2 linked regions of the Pelodiscus sinensis genome follow. The protein of the gene in region 2 binds, or shares a complex with, the protein of the main gene of each other region. Links are inferred from orthologs where the notes say so. Each region holds a gene or a part of one and is shown on either strand. Other genes may lie near its edges.

Region 1 (4,833 bases), on a different chromosome or scaffold from region 2:
CGGTGCGGTTCGGCGAGCCCTGCCCAAAGGACAGGGGCTGCTGCCGTGAAGCAGCGCTAGTTCATGGTGGCCAGGGCTGCCCGGGGTAGGGGCTGCTCTGACAGCAGCCCCTGCCCGCAGCTAACCCTGGCTGCCACAAACGGGGCTGCTGGACTCAGCACAAGCCAGGACCGAGCAGTCCCGGCTCATGCAGACACGGTGCCACTACCTTTAAAATGTAGTAAGAGCCCGACGATTTTCACTACATTTAAAACGCAGAGCTGCAGCATGGGTGGCTCCCGGAGCTACCCCCACTGCAGCTCTGCATAGCAGTCCTATCGACTATTCTGTTAGCTCGGTAACCGCAATTTAACAGCCCTAGACTACTTTGTCAGTTCTATTTTACAACGTCTTGCTCTGAACGCTCTGCAGAATGCTCTTATAGTCACCCAAAAGAAAACTTCCTCTAAGCATCTAGTTTTAGAGTGTTGTCTCTAATAAAGTCCTCCCTTTCATTTTGAATGGAGTTTAATTAATGGGCTTTTTCGTTGACACTTTTTTATACAGAGGAACAAAAGCAACATACTATCTTCTCCAGGACATATCTGTCAGTCATCCTATACCAGAGTTCCTAAACCAGGGATATCAGTACCCTTAGGGGTACACGAGAGAACTCTGGGGGATAAGTCAACACAACTGAAATTGAGAGAAAACTGAATTTTTGTTGTCAGTCTTACAGCACTTTGTTATTTTTGTACTTTTTACACCCAAAAATTTTCATGGCCCGCCCGGCTACAATTAAGTTGTTTAAACAAATGTGTTGCACTGGTAGAAAAAAATGTTGTCTGTCTGAAAAATGTAGGTATTGGAGGTACTTATAATTTTTTTTTTTTTAAAGTGGGTACTTTATAAAAAAAAAGTTGAAAAACTCTGTACTATACTACAGCTGTGAGTTCCTGTAAAATCAGTTGCTATAGCAGAAAGATTATAACACTACTGAACTCTCAACAGTGCTTAAGCAACAGCGTAGATTCACTATTACCAACCCAAAATATTTTAAAAAAATGAATCAGGCCTTAAAAAATAATTCACTTTAAATTGAGATTTTTTAAAAGGGTTTTTTATTTGCCTTCTGGCTTTTGAGTGCTTAGAGTACAAACTTTTCAGTCTACATCAATGGGAGTAGATAAGTAAAGAAAAAAAAAAGCTGACATTCCCATCCAATTACTTAACCCCAAGACCTAGAGCTTTAAATAAAATACTAATATCAAGGGAATTGGCAAAAAATGACTCTACAGTACTAATTATCTGGGTTACATAATTGCTGCAGAGTTTGGACTGTAAACAATGCAAGGTCCTATTTAAATGTAATAAAATATGTTTTAAGATGAAATGAATTGTTTTAAGATGAAATGAATGTTTTTATAATCAAAACAAGCTTTTGGCTCTGAACTACTGGTATCTAGACCACATTGCTTTAAAGAAGAAAAACAGAGAATGGAATACCCTTCTTCTTGAGATCCAGAGTTGCACCATTTAATGAAGCTCTTCACTAACAAATTAATTCGTCTGTCATCACCAGCACCATCTCCATCAATTAGAAGTCGTTTACGAATAACTTCATCTAGAGTAGAGGAAGATCATATTTTAAAAACGTGGTAAGTTACAGCCTCAAGTTATGATTGATCCTGGTTTTGAACAATATCCCTCCCATTACAGCCTGGCACTGAAGAGAACATTTTCTATGGTTGACTGTAGGGTATTCGGTGTATCCAACCTCCCTTCCCCATTACTTCGCTGCCAACAAGTACCCCCCCCCCCTTAATTTCCCAAATTGAGAAGGTCTGAGTGGGGGCATTCTGCAATGGGGCCTGCCTGGTGCTTAGGGTTGTGTGATTGTTTCTGTGGATGGGGGCGGTAGCTCTGGAGTGGGAAAGAAGGGAAGACAGCTGGTAGGCAGAGATTCTGGAAGGGGAAGGGGACATGGGGAAAAGGGAGAAGCCTGGAGTTCACAGCTGGGGTGCGGGAGGCAGGAGCTGGGAGCCGACGGGGGCCCATTGGGAACCCCAGCAGCGGGGGGTCTCTCTGGAATACACGGGGGCAAACCCGGGAATGGGGGGGCACCCCAGGGACCTGTAGGGGCCCCCCAAAGCGCTGTGGTCTCTGGAGCGAGGGGCGCTCCGAGGCCAACGCTGTGGGGCTGGGTCACGAGCTGGGGCCTGAGAGGCAGGCTCTGGCCGGGGGGAGGGGGAGAGGCCCGGCCCGCTATCACCCCGGGGGAGCCCCGAGCGGTAAAAGGGGGGAGGCGAGAGCAAGGCCTGGCCCGGGCGGTATAAGGGGGGAGGCCTGGGCCGGAGGAGCTCCGGGCGGTATAAGGGGGTGGGAAGGGAAGCGAGGCCCGGGCGCTATGAGGAGGGAGGCCCGGCCGGTAACGGGGAGAGGCCCGCCCCGGGTGCTATAAGAGGGGAGGGGAGGCTCGGCCCGAGGAGTGGGGTGAGGGGAGGCCTAGTTGGCCCGAGGGGCCCGGGCGCTATGAGGAGGGAGGCCCGGCCGGTACCGAGGGGGGAGGGGATGCCCGGTTCGGTTGGCCGGGGGGGGGGGGGGGAGGCCCGGCCCGGGCGCTATAAGGGGGGAGGGGAGGCCCGGTTCGGTTGTCCCGGGCGCTATAAGGGGGAGGCCCGCGTGTCCCGGGGCCCGGGCGGTACCGGGGAAAAGCCTGGCCCGGGGCGCTATAAGGAGGGATGCCCGACCGGTAACGGGGAGGGGGCAGAGGCCCGGCCCGGGCGCTATAGGGGATGAGGGGAGGCCCGGTTCGGTTGTCCCGGGCGCTATAAGGGGGCAGGGGAGGCCCGGCCCGGCCCGCGTGTCCCGGGCGCTATAAGGGGAGGGGAGGCCCGGCCCGGCCCGGGCGCTATAGGGGGAGGCCCGCGTGTCCCGGGCGCTATAAGGGGGCAGGGGAGGCCCGGGCGGGCCCGGGGACGCGCTCACCGTCGGTCACGGCGCCCATGGCGGCCCAGGCGGCTGGCGGGGCGGCGGCGAGTGAGGTCAGCTTCCCACAATGCAGCCGGGGCCGCGGCAGCCATGGAGGCGGAGGCTGGGGCCTGAGCTGCTCCCTGCGGACCCGGGGCCCCGCGCTGCCGCGCCACCGGCCGGCGGGGGAGAGGGCGGGCGCACCCCGCGCGGCACCGGCCTCACCAGGTGAGGGGCGGCCGGCCCCACCCCGCGCGCCGGCCTCGCCCGGCCCCCCCCTCCTGGGCGCCCCCCCCCGGGTGCTGGGTGCGTGGGGGCCCCCTGCCCCCTCACCGTCGTGCGCCACGCGTGGCCCCCGCGCAACCGCCCGCGTGCCCGTGGCTGGCGTCCTGCCCCCCGTCTCCGTCACGGGCAGCGTGGGGTGGGTGCCGGCCTCGTTGACGCTCTCCTGGGGTGCCCCCATGGCATTGGCCTCGCACCGTCCCCCTCTGCCGCCCTCGTTGGCATCGTGCCCCGGGGTGGCCGTGATTTTCCTCCGTTGGGTTGCGTTTGCCATCGTTGAGCCGCCGCGGTTGCCGTCGTTCTCCATGATGCCTTTGGCTTCCATTACCACCCCTTCTCTCATCGCAGTTGCCTTCGCCATCGTTTCGCTTGATGTGATCCTTTCCGTTATTCCCCACGACAACTTCACCACCATCGGCTCTCTAGAATTAACATCCCTCCCCACCATCTCCCTTCTCCTGGTTGCTGTGGCCGTTGTTTCCTTCATTGCTTTCGCTGCTGTGTTACGCACTTGTCTCGTTGCTACCATGTCCCTTATCACTGTCGCCCTTATATTTGTGCTACCACTGCAATTTCTAACTCCGGTTGGGTATGACTGACCCTTTCCTAGCTCATTGAGGTAAAACATTGACAGTAACCACATTGGACCTGTGCTTATCTCTCAACAAGCGGTACTCTGCAGTGTCACTGTTAATTTTAAAATATAAAATAGTCTGAGCAAAAAAACAAAAAAAAATTCATTCTCCCGTCTATGCTAAGAAGGACCAGACATCTGCATCTGGCAGGATGCTGCCAGAGTCCCAACTGGTCCTACTAAACCCAGTGAGGTAGCTGCTCACCAACTGGAGTTGTCCTCAGCACCTTGTTTACCCTTTTACTGACCTACAAAGTATCAGTTTGCAGTGGGAATAAAAGTTATGCCCACGCTAAAGATGTTTACACCAAGGGAGAATCCATCTGTTGTTTTAGCTGGTCTGGTATCTGCCTCATCGCTCTTTGTTGAGGAGATCCATGCGGACCCAAGCTAGGAACCATAGGGGAGAGAACAAGGGGGTGGAGAGATTAGGGTTTTATTTATGCCATATGGTTAGCGTTAGCATGTGGAACCACAAGCTGTGACTCTGTAGTAACGGTGTAGTTAGCTGTAGCTGGTGTTACTGTGGTATACTTTAATAAGCATTCACGTTTCAAGCATTTTAGAGGACTTTACTTGGATGCTCTCATTCATATATATTTTTACCATAGTCTTCTGTTTTTGTTTTGATCGTCACATGTTACATAACTTATGTGCTTCTTTGTACGCTTAAAATATTTGTTTTTCTCACTAGGGTCAGTTTTTTGTTTTGAAAATTGATCTAGGATACAGTAAAAAGTGTGAGAGCACTGGAATGTTTTGCAGTTTCCTGGTTTAAAGGTGAACTTGCTCAGGGATTAATTTTGCTCCTGAGAATGGTCTTTAATAGGTACATAGGAAATGCCATACCAAATCAGACCAGTGCTTATTTAGTTCAGTATCTTGTTTTTATAGTGGCTAGTATTAGATATTTTATTGGAAGGTACAAGAATGCCAATAATGGACAATTGGTTTCTCCCTAATCCTAA
Region 2 (4,833 bases):
CGGCCCAGGGCATTCTGCTGGGCACCTCCTGCCGCCAGTCAAGGCTTGGGGCCATGCAGCGGGGGGAGCCCAGCCTTGGGCGGCGGCTCCAGCCCATGTCCCCCCCAAGGCAGGGGCAGCGCCGGGGCTCGAAGCTGGGGGTCACCGCCAGCCCCAGCTGCCAGGGTGGGGGGGCCATCCACGGGTCATCGCCTGGGGAGAGAAGGGAGAGTTACACACTCAGCAACCCGCCGATGGGCCGCAGTCTGCCCCACGCCGCTCCCAAGTTGCCCAGCAGCCAGACCCACCGAACTGCAGGGCTCCCCGTATGCACTGGGGTGGGTCACCGCAACCCTAGGGGTTCCCAGAATGCACTGGGGCGGGTCATGCCAAGTCTAGGGGTTCCCAGAATGCTCTGGGGTGGGTCATGCCAAGCCTAGGGGTTACCAGAATTCATTGGGGTGGGTCATGCCAAGCCTAGGGGTTCCCAGAATGCACTGGGGTGGGTCATGCCAAGCCTAGGGGTTCCCAGAATGCATTGGGGCGGGTCATGCCAACTCAGGGAGCTCCCAGAATGCTCTGGGGTGGGTTAAGGCAATGCCAAGGAGCTCCCAGAATGCACTGGGGTGGGTCATGTCAAGCCTAGGGGTTCCCAGAATGCACTGGGGTGGGTCATGCCAAGCCTTGGGGTTCCCAGAATGCACTGGGGCGGGTCATGCCAACTCAGGGAGCTCCCAGAATGCTCTGGGGTGGGCTAAGGCAATGCCAAGGAGCTCCCAGAATGCACTGGGGTGGGTCATGCCAAGCCTAGGGGTTCCCAGAATGCACTGGGGTGGGTCATGCCAAGCCTAGGGGTTCCCAGAATGCACTGGGGCGGGTCATGCCAACTCAGGGAGCTCCCAGAATGCTCTGGGGTGGGCTAAGGCAATGCCAAGGAGCTCCCAGAATGCACTGGGGTGGGTCATGCCAAGCCTAGGGGTTCCCAGAATGCACTGGGGTGGGTCATGCCAAGCCTAGGGGTTCCCAGAATGCATTGGGCCGGGTCATGCCAAGCCTAGGGGTTCCCAGAATGCACTGGGGCGGGTCATGCCAAGCCTACGGGTTCCCAGAATGCACTGGGGCGGGTCATGCCAAGCCTAGGGGTTCCCAGAATGCATTGGGCCGGGTCATGCCAACTCCGGGTGCTCCCAGAATGCACTGGGGCGGGTCATGCCAAGCCTTGGGGTTCCCAGAATGCACTGGGGCGGGTCATGCCAAGCCTTGGGGTTCCCAGAATGCACTGGGGTGGGTCATGCCAAGCCTAGGGGTTCCCAGAATGCTCTGGGGCGGGTCATGCCAAGTCCAGGGGTTCCCAGAATGCCTCGCACCCAGCTGCCACACCCTATAGAGAGGGGCGGGGCCTGATTAAGGGGTGTGGCCGAAAGAAAGGGCGGGGCAGAAGGCGGAGCTCGATCCCGCGCATGCGCAGAGCGAAGGAGCGACGCCAAGCGGCGCGGGCCATGTCATTCGTTTCGCGCCCGGAGAGGAGTTAGGGCGGGGATCGGCGCACGCGCGGTACGGACCTTGGGGGAGTTTTTTTCGCGCCGATCGGGTTGCTTTTTCTTCTTCCCCTCCCCCCACCTCAACGTTCTCAGGATTCTCCGCCGCGGCCTTCCTTGTAGGGTGCGCGCGCAGCCGCTCCTGTCATGTGACGGGGCGAGCCAATGGAGTACTGCGCCGCGCGGCCACCCGGGAAGTGTAGTCCTGGGCTTTTGCGAGAACGGGGCCAGCCGGCGCGTGGAGACTCCACTTCCCGTCGGGCCCCGCGCGCGCTCGCCGCCGGAGCCAAGCCAGGCGGGGTCGCGCAGCCTGCGGGGAGCTGCAGTCCTCGGCGCGGTGGGATGACGTAAGGGGAGCGCGACACGGAGGCGCATTGCATGGGGAGACCTCATGGCACCGGGGCAGGTAAGTGGGGCCGGGGAGAGGGAGGAGCTCCCAGCATGCACCGGGCTGGGTCAACCCCACCGCATTCTGGGAGCTCCCCGGCGTGGCGGGACCCGGCCCGGTGCATTCTGGGAGCTCCCGGCGTGGCGGGACCCGGCCCGGTGCATTCTGGGAGCTCCCCGAGTTGGCGGGACCCGGCCCGGTGCATTCTGGGAGCTCCCCGGCTTGTCGGGACCCGGCCCGGTGCATTCTGGGAGCTCCCCGGCTTGTCGGGACCCGGCCCGGTGCATTTTGGGGGCTCCCCGGCGTGGCGGGACCCGGCCCGGTGCATTCTGGGGGCTCCCCGGCGTGGCGGGACCCGGCCCGGTGCATTTTGGGGGCTCCCCGGCGTGGCGGGACCCGGCCCGGTGCATTCTGGGGGCTCCCCGGCGTGGCGGGACCCGGCCCGGTGCATTCTGGGAGCTCCCCGGCGTGGCGGGACCCGGCCCGGTGCATTCTGGGAGCTCCCCGGCGTGGCGGGACCCGGCCCGGTGCATTCTGGGAGCTCCCCGGCGTGGCGGGACCCGGCCCGGTGCATTCTGGGAGCTCCCCGGCGTGGCGGGACCCGGCCCGGTGCATTCTGGGAGCTCCCCGGCGTGGCGGGACCCGGCCCGGTGCATTCTGGGAGCTCCCCGGCGTGGCGGGACCCGGCCCGGTGCATTCTGGGAGCTCCCCGGCGTGGCGGGACCCGGCCCGGTGCATTCTGGGAGCTCCCCGGCGTGGCGGGACCCGGCCCGGTGCATTCTGGGAGCTCCCGGCCTGGCGGGACCCGGCCCGGTGCATTCTGGGGGCTCCCCGGCGTGGCGGGACCCGGCCCGGTGCATTCTGGGAGCTCCCGGCTTGGCGGGACCCGGCCCGGTGCATTCTGGGAGCTCCCCGGCGTGGCGGGACCCGGCCCGGTGCATTCTGGGAGCTCCCCGAGTTGGCGGGACCCGGCCCGGTGCATTCTGGGAGCTCCCGGCGTGGCGGGACCCGGCCCGGTGCATTCTGGGGGCTCCCCGAGTTGGCGGGACCCGGCCCGGTGCATTCTGGGGGCTCCCCGGCGTGGCGGGACCCGGCCCGGTGCATTCTGGGGGCTCCCCGGCGTGGCGGGACCCGGCCCGGTGCATTCTGGGGGCTCCCCGGCGTGGCGGGACCCGGCCCGGTGCATTCTGGGAGCTCCCGGCGTGGCGGGACCCGGCCCGGTGCATTCTGGGAGCTCCCGGCGTGGCGGGACCCGGCCCGGTGCATTCTGGGGGCTCCCCGGCGTGGCGGGACCCGGCCCGGTGCATTCTGGGGGCTCCCCGGCGTGGCGGGACCCGGCCCGGTGCATTCTGGGGGCTCCCCGGCGTGGCGGGACCCGGCCCGGTGCATTCTGGGGGCTCCCCGGCGTGGCGGGACCCGGCCCGGTGCATTCTGGGAGCTCCCGGCGTGGCGGGACCCGGCCCGGTGCATTCTGGGGGCTCCCCGAGTTGGCGGGACCCGGCCCGGTGCATTCTGGGGGCTCCCCGGCGTGGCGGGACCCGGCCCGGTGCATTCTGGGGGCTCCCCGGCGTGGCGGGACCCGGCCCGGTGCATTCTGGGGGCTCCCCGCCTTGGCGGGACCCGGCCCGGTGCATTCTGGGGGCTCCCCGGCTTGGCGGGACCCGGCCCGGTGCATTCTGGGAGCTCCCGGCGTGGCGGGACCCGGCCCGGTGCATTCTGGGGGCTCCCCGGCGTGGCGGGACCCGGCCCGGTGCATTCTGGGGGCTCCCCGGCGTGGCGGGACCCGGCCCGGTGCATTCTGGGGGCTCCCCGGCGTGGCGGGACCCGGCCCGGTGCATTCTGGGGGCTCCCCGGCGTGGCGGGACCCGGCCCGGTGCATTCTGGGGGCTCCCCGGCGTGGCGGGACCCGGCCCGGTGCATTCTGGGGGCTCCCCGGCGTGGCGGGACCCGGCCCGGTGCATTCTGGGGGCTCCCCGGCGTGGCGGGACCCGGCCCGGTGCATTCTGGGGGCTCCCCGGCGTGGCGGGACCCGGCCCGGTGCATTCTGGGAGCTCCCGGCGTGGCGGGACCCGGCCCGGTGCATTCTGGGAGCTCCCGGCGTGGCGGGACCCGGCCCGGTGCATTCTGGGGGCTCCCCGGCGTGGCGGGACCCGGCCCGGTGCATTCTGGGGGCTCCCCGGCGTGGCGGGACCCGGCCCGGTGCATTCTGGGGGCTCCCCGGCGTGGCGGGACCCGGCCCGGTGCATTCTGGGGGCTCCCCGGCGTGGCGGGACCCGGCCCGGTGCATTCTGGGAGCTCCCGGCGTGGCGGGACCCGGCCCGGTGCATTCTGGGGGCTCCCCGAGTTGGCGGGACCCGGCCCGGTGCATTCTGGGGGCTCCCCGGCGTGGCGGGACCCGGCCCGGTGCATTCTGGGGGCTCCCCGGCGTGGCGGGACCCGGCCCGGTGCATTCTGGGGGCTCCCCGCCTTGGCGGGACCCGGCCCGGTGCATTCTGGGGGCTCCCCGGCTTGGCGGGACCCGGCCCGGTGCATTCTGGGAGCTCCCGGCGTGGCGGGACCCGGCCCGGTGCATTCTGGGGGCTCCCCGGCGTGGCGGGACCCGGCCCGGTGCATTCTGGGGGCTCCCCGGCGTGGCGGGACCCGGCCCGGTGCATTCTGGGGGCTCCCCGGCGTGGCGGGACCCGGCCCGGTGCATTCTGGGGGCTCCCCGGCGTGGCGGGACCCGGCCCGGTGCATTCTGGGGGCTCCCCGGCGTGGCGGGACCCGGCCCGGTGCATTCTGGGGGCTCCCCGGCGTGGCGGGACCCGGCCCGGTGCATTCTGGGGGCTCCCCGGCGTGGCGGGACCCGGCCCGGTGCATTCTGGGGGCTCCCCGGCGTGGCGGGACCCGGCCCGGTGCATTCTGGGAGCTCCCGGCTTGGCGGGACCC

What was found. Proteins that work in one complex are often made in the same cells at the same time.
Region 1: the proteins of THOC6 (region 2) and THOC7 are in contact, whole or in part, in a cryo-EM structure (PDB 7APK), measured with the Homo sapiens proteins. The link is inferred for Pelodiscus sinensis from reciprocal best matches to the Homo sapiens genes THOC6 and THOC7. Residues at the interface, in NP_001334633.1 of Homo sapiens: Asp229, Trp232, His245, Thr252, Gln268, Asp269, Gln284, Leu285, Ser286; in NP_079351.2 of Homo sapiens: Lys110, Arg113, Lys114, Gln117, Glu118, Ala121, Leu122, Val125.

The regions. Positions count from the first base shown.
Region 1 is NC_134721.1:4,391,420-4,396,252, forward strand, and holds the start of THOC7 (THO complex subunit 7), read right to left. Parts: upstream 3,144-4,833; 5' UTR 2,987-3,143; coding exon 2,968-2,986; intron 1,604-2,967; coding exon 1,486-1,603; intron 1-1,485. UniProt on the Homo sapiens protein: Component of the THO subcomplex of the TREX complex which is thought to couple mRNA transcription, processing and nuclear export, and which specifically associates with spliced mRNA and not with unspliced pre-mRNA.
Region 2 is NC_134714.1:134,744,317-134,749,149, reverse strand, and holds the start of THOC6 (THO complex subunit 6), read left to right. Parts: upstream 1-1,782; 5' UTR 1,783-1,908; coding exon 1,909-1,923; intron 1,924-4,833. Other genes in the region: HCFC1R1 (host cell factor C1 regulator 1), read right to left, coding at 1-178. UniProt on the Homo sapiens protein: Component of the THO subcomplex of the TREX complex which is thought to couple mRNA transcription, processing and nuclear export, and which specifically associates with spliced mRNA and not with unspliced pre-mRNA.